Saccharomyces cerevisiae S288C: one gene and its partner. The protein of the gene in region 1 purifies or fractionates together with the protein of each later gene. This does not show direct contact. Each region holds a gene or a part of one and is shown on either strand. Other genes may lie near its edges.

Region 1 (2,638 bases):
TGAAAGATTCCGGAAACATCAATGAGGTTTACCACAATTTAAAGACTTCTATAGATGAAGACAAGTATACGGTTTACGTTAATGGAAATTTCCCCAAAGAATGGAACTTTAATGATGGAAAAAATCATCACATGGCGTCAATCTGGATTGTGCCCGAGCCTGGGTATGCAGTGATGAAGAAAGAACAATTGAAGAAGGTGGCAAAAGGTGATCATAAGGACAAAAACGAAGACAATGTGTTCACGATTGGATCACATGGATACGACAATAACGCGATCGATATGAGATCTGTATTTATTGGTATGGGGCCATATTTTCCACAGGGATACATTGAGCCGTTCCAAAATACCGAAATTTACAACCTTTTGTGTGATATTTGCGGTGTGGCAGAAAAGGACAGAAATTCCAATGATGGGACTGGGATGCTTATGAACCAACTCCGCGAACCCCAGAGCAGCGAAGAAGTAGAGATTGAAGATGACTTTGATTATTTGGTCAGTAAGTTTGGTGAATTCAGCACTTATAATATAATTTGGGGCGGGTACCCCGAAGAGACAGAACAAGACAATGTTGACAATGATAATGATGACAACGACGATGGAAACACTGATGAAATAGCCGCTATGCCATCTTCGTCATTAACGATAAAACTAGAAATGACAACTTCAATACCATCAGCAACTGAGACTCTACTGGGCGAAACATCACCATCATCAAGAAGCAGCAGCAGCAGCAGCATACAAGCTAGCGCTACTGCTAGCACAGTGGGGGATTGGCTTCAAGACATAATCAACGACGCAAAAGATCTCATTGACGACATAATTGACAGCATCGACGATTTAGTCGATTCTGATACCTAAGCTTAAGGTGGGACAACCGCGTTATGAAATAAAAGACGCATCCTTGTGAGTCCCGCGCAAGAAAACATATGCACGCAGAAAGAGACTTTTATTTAGATTTAGTATATCTCTAAACTTAATTCAGAAGTGAACCACTCTCTCACATCCGATGACAGTGGGGTCAATAAGATGTACTAAGTAAGAAAACTAATTACACAATAAAAAGAAACAAGCTGAAACTAGGCGTGTTAACTCTTTCCTAAACGAGGAGGTTTATGTCGTCATTTGGACATCGAGCATTTTTCAGCTGTTGTCCTTTACTAGAAGGAGAAACTTTGCATTCAATAAAATTGCGCAAAGAGGCAACATACCAAACTCAATCCGGGTGGCCGGTTCGATGGCCGATTCGGTATCCGCGCGCACTTCCCCTAGAATCCCACGTGCACCCATACCATATGATCGTTAAATTACCGCACCCACGCACCCAACCGCGGCTGTTTCTATGGCTGTCGTTGCATTGGACAGGAATTCCTTTTTTGGGAAAGCCGGGAATAGGTCGCAATCGGGTAAAATCAAAACAATTTTCGCATTTCCAACAGAGTAAAATCAAAACAACTATGAGAAAAAAAACAACAAACAGAAAGCAGAAAGCAGAAAGATGTCAATATAGACTTGTCACTGCGTAATAGAAGATAGCTTCAATTTTTTCCGATAATAATTTCCCATTTTTTTTTTTCAAATTTAGCCTTCCGTGCTTGCCAGTATATAAAGCTTTGAAAGCAATTTATTGTTTCTCTTGTAATCTTAACTTCCCTTTTTTTCTCTTATTGCGTCTTATCTTCCTTTAGAGTTTTTCATTACTACCCTTTTTCCATTTATTCTTTTTCCCTTTCAATAGTATTTAAAGGAAGACGCTACACACTTTGAAGGAAGAGCAAATAAGTTAACTTTTTCATCTCTTTTTTTTTCTCAACTTCAAACTAGTCACTCAAGCAAACTTTTGTTCCTACATATCCTTTGTTTGTTTCTCCTCTTCCCATTTCAGCACTTTTAATCTATCATAAATGACTTTACCAGGTGGTGTTATTTTAGTTTTCATTTTGGTCGGTTTGGCTTGTATTGCCATTATTGCTACCATTATCTACAGAAAATGGCAAGCTAGACAAAGAGGATTGCAAAGATTCTAAAAAGGGCGGAGCGAGCCATTTTATTTCCTGTCCCCTTCATCTTTGTTTATATCCATTCTAGAACATGAATTAGACTACTATGTGTGTGTGTGCGATACCCTTTTTTGAATTCTTTCTACCTTTTATCCCTCACTATGCCTTTCTTTTATTTGTTTCGTCCGTTCGCTTTACTGTAAATGAACGTTGTTACTACTTAGTGTGCGTGCTCAAGTTGAATTGTGCTTTTTTTTTTATGGTTATGATATTTGAACTAAAACGAGTGTGTGTTTCGTATTTAGACAGATCCCGTAAAATCCAAATTGTTAGCTTTTTTCCTTTTATCACTATTATTTTTTTCCACTCTTAACAATGTGTGTGATTGTTAAGTCTGGCTGATGACTCCTCATGATAACTCATGTGTGTGTAAAATTGAGTTTTTCATGGTTGTTTTCAAAGATAAATTACATAGTAGTGTAATCAAAATAGTGTATGATTTTTTTTTATTTTTAGAAAATCTAAATAATAAATAAATAAAAAATAAAATACAATCCTTACAGAGATTAGGCCGTCGAGTGTGGAGTATGAGTATGCACAACTTATAGTTATGATCTACTTTTTCTCGTCCTGATTTTT
Region 2 (4,064 bases), on another chromosome or scaffold:
TTTTTAGACAAAGGCATCTCTAATGAATAGCATCACAAAACTTGCATTTAGCATTAACATATATGGATATATATGTACACACAGAAAACGTATAAACACTCATGTATAACCCTACATAATAAGAGTATACAATGATACTAGTCATAAAAAGTATTGTGTGTATAGACGTGCGCATATTTTCAAAATATTATAAACCTGAACAATAGACAGAATAAAGTATGCAGCGCAACGACAACGATGATGGACAGCGAAAATTTCCCGTTCGATTGTGTCTCCGTATTATTATTACTCGATATTTGAGAATTCAAGAAATAAGACGACTGTGCCCACCCAAGAGCCACAATTGCCCATTGAATTGCTTGAACAGTCCTCAGGCGCTTGGACATATCCAATATATTCAATATAACACAAACGGGTATCCAGATCAAGTTAGCGTACCCGTAAACGGAAATCAATTCAGGAACACTTTTGAAGCTTCTATTGCGCTCCGAGTGCTCATCTCTATTCAATACTTGCATGGTAATAAATGGTACGCCGAACGTGTACCCGTAAAATAGCCAAATAGAATGCAGTAGCTTCTTAAACTGACTGGCCCTGTCGATGTCCTCACCAGTCTTGACGCCCTCAATTACGTCACTGATAATAAAATTTAACCCCCTACTCATGGTAAAATTGATCATTACCACCGTGGCAGTGATCCATACAGCACCGTATAAATCAGTGTTATCTTCGTTACTTTCGGAATTATGATCGTTTCTAAACGTCAGTACCGCGGACAATCTCTTTTTGAACTGCGTCAAATCGATCTGGAAGTATTTAGAATAGTAGTTTATCAATCCTGGCCTCAATCCATTACGCCCAAGACCGTCGTTGTCATTCTGTCCTATCACTTGGTCGTACGCTGGTGGGTCCATTTGACCCTGTAATGGTGCGGATTCTGCCTTACTGCCCGTTGTGTTATAAAATTCGCTACCCTTTCCAGCAGTCGAGTTATTCATGTTTGGGCTATCAGGTACGGTGGCATCATCAAATGGGTTGGGCTCGTTGCCAAAATCATCTACACCCTCGAGATCATCGTCAATATCTAAAAAACTGCTATTATTGGACGGCATTTTTCTGCTTTTGTCGAGTCAATCCTATTTGCTAGTATACAATCGTGGATGAAGCGTAAAAAAGAACTACAGAACCAATGCGTTTGGATCCAATGTGGTCGCTGCCCTTGGCCCCTTTTACCTTGAGCGTAGGACGTTGATACATTTTCACTGCTTGAGAAATTAGGTATAATACACAGCCGGGTAAATAGCGTTTAATTGATCGCTGCTCCGTAATACCGATATACTGTTACGTTATGTATTGAAAATACAGTTTAACTATTATTTGTAGGGATACTACTATGGGGTCTCAACCGCACTTAAAGGCGCTAAAATATTTTGACTTTTCCTTCCTTATATTGTAGACGTGTTATTTAAAAACTACATTTTCCATATCTCGTCGCCAGAAACTTCTAATTTGGTAAGCCTTCCAATAAATATGAAAGAATCCCCTCTCATAACGTTGGTTAAAAGACATTCCGAGACACATTTTGCCAATATCAAGTATGGGTATTATGTGTTGATAATATCATTGGTCTATCTCATTGGATTGGCTCTTTTGAGAGCTTTCGGAAGGAGAACCCCATCCAGATCGTCGTCAGCTTTCAAAAATAAGATAATTTATCGGTTGTATGATATAGATCCTGCAATTCACTTAGGTATATTGTTTTTTGCAGTCTTGATTCCATTTTATTACCATTACTCTTTGACTACCCAATCTACGGTCTATCTCAAAAGATTAGGGAGGTTGAGTTACGCCTTGATCCCGCTGAACCTATTCCTCACTTTAAGGCCTAATTGGTTCCTTAGGAAAAATTGCACCTACACTGATTTTATACCGTTCCATAAATGGTTTTCACGTATTATCACCGTGATTGGTTTGCTTCATGGGATTTTCTTCATCATTAAGTGGGCGATAGACGATAATGTCTCTCTAAAGCAAAAATTGATTCTGAAAACTTTCAATTTTGCGGGATTCATAATATCAATATTGGTACTTTTTTTACTTATTTGCTCGATTGGGCCAATGAGAAGATACAACTATCGTTTGTTTTACATCGTACATAACCTGGTGAACGTGGCCTTCATCTTACTCACCCCAATACACTCTAGGCCAGGTGTTAAGTTCCCATTTCTTCTACTAAACTGTACCCTATTATTCATTCATATTATCAATAGAATAGTATTTGCGAAATCCTTGATGATTTTGAATAAGAATGCGAATTATTCAAAAACAAATTTAGTCCATGTAAGATTGCCCAGGGCTATTCTTCCAGATTATTTTGAACCAGGGTCGCATATTAGAATAAGCCCTTACAGAAGAATTAATCCCCTCTATTGGTTGCTACCATCGCATCCATACACAATTGCGTCTTTGGCAGAAGACAATTCAATTGATCTTATTATAAAGGAAACCTCTACAGCCGAGCCAGGTAGCCAGATAGAGTCTCTTCGTAGTAATCCAAAATCCTTTCATTTAGATCAAGAAAAAACCTATACTTTGATTAATAGTTATCCTCCCTCTGTACCCGAAGAATGTTATTCTCAAGGCACGAATATAGCTATTATATGTGGTGGGTCTGGTATATCTTTTGCCCTACCACTATTTAGGCATTTTTTTAACAAGGAGAATGTAAAATACTTGAAAATGATCTGGCTGATAAAAGATTACTCTGAATATGAACTTGTTTTGGATTATCTCAAGACAAATGGGTTGACTTTTGAGAAAAAACTCTCGAATAATAAGAGGATTTCAGTATTTATTAGTGGAGAATACACGGCGGAAACACGGTTAGACGAAATTACGACCAATATCGACGATGAAAACTCAGAATATGAAATGGGATCTTTCAACAATGAAGACGAAGACCTTTCGATTTCTAATTTCAATTCAGAAAATGCGGACAGCAATGACAATACGCCAGAGACAAGTCATAGCCCCACAAAAGAGAATGGAAGCATGATCGAGGTAAAATCCAAACACAGTTTTACTCTTTCCAACGAATTGAAGAGCTTCAACAATGAAAGTGCACAAGTGAACCAAAATGAAACATGGTTGTTTTCATGTGGTCCTCCCTCGTTATTACAATTGTCTAAAAAATATTGTAACGATGAAAGGATCAACTTTGTCTGTGAGACTTACGGATTATGAGGGGAAAAGAAAAGAATAATAATGTCTTACGCAATATGCTCGGAAATGATATTCCACGACATTAGATGCTAATTTATAGTATATAGAAAACAAAAAATACATATCTGTTTTTTAATGACCTTTAGTTTATATGCTTTCTTGCGCGGCTATTAGAATACACTTGACAGGTTGTACGCATTATTAATCGGTAAATGGAGATATATTAGAGATGATCGTTTTAAAATGGAGGCTGTCTGCAAAAAAATTGGGAGCTACATTAGCAAAAAGCTTCTTTTCTTGTTGTTCTCGGTTTATATTTCAAGAGGGCAGTAGGAAAAAGGATCGAAAAGCTCGGCCTGTGGCCATGTCCTCTAAAAATCAAATATAATTTACTGGCCAACGTTATCGGCTCTTTTTGATATCTATCATCTCTTTAGCTATTGTTATCTGGCAACTGATTCAACTGATATGAACAATTCCATAATTACTGATGATGAGGTTAGAGAGTTTTACTTAAACTGCTCTTCTCAAACAATTATTGAATCTCTTCTCAGCTTGCACGAGTCATTGAGATTATATTCTCAAAACCATGAGATACTGCTCAATAGGATGTTCAAAAAATTGGATGAAACCAATGCAGACTCTAACATATCCCATATATTCATGCCTGTTGTGAGCAAGGATTTTTCAGGAATAAAAATTCTTGTGAATAACAACAACAAAAATTTTCAAGGTGTGATAAATGTTATTGAGCCTGAAACAGGAAAATTAATCGGATGTTTTGAGGCTAAACAAATTACCGCTATAAGAACTGCCCTTGCATCGTGTATCGGTTTATATAA

The links.
Region 2: the proteins of PMP1 (region 1) and AIM14 purify together in Saccharomyces cerevisiae (affinity purification with mass spectrometry, with the first as the bait; one large-scale study listed by BioGRID). This does not show direct contact.

Annotation. Positions count from the first base shown.
Region 1 is NC_001135.5:162,333-164,970, reverse strand, and holds PMP1 (proteolipid ATPase), read left to right. Parts: upstream 1-1,903; coding exon 1,904-2,026; downstream 2,027-2,638. Other genes in the region: nucleotide diphosphatase/phosphodiesterase NPP1, read left to right, coding at 1-860; YCR025C (uncharacterized protein), read left to right, coding at 1,115-1,525; YCR024C-B (uncharacterized protein), read left to right, coding at 2,106-2,372.
Region 2 is NC_001139.9:199,031-203,094, forward strand, and holds AIM14 (putative metalloreductase), read left to right. Parts: upstream 1-1,530; coding exon 1,531-3,243; downstream 3,244-4,064. Other genes in the region: SUT1 (Sut1p), read left to right, coding at 1-7; YIP5 (Yip5p), read right to left, coding at 180-1,112; YGL159W (uncharacterized protein), read left to right, coding at 3,691-4,064. UniProt on the Saccharomyces cerevisiae protein: Probable cell surface metalloreductase. May be involved in iron or copper homeostasis.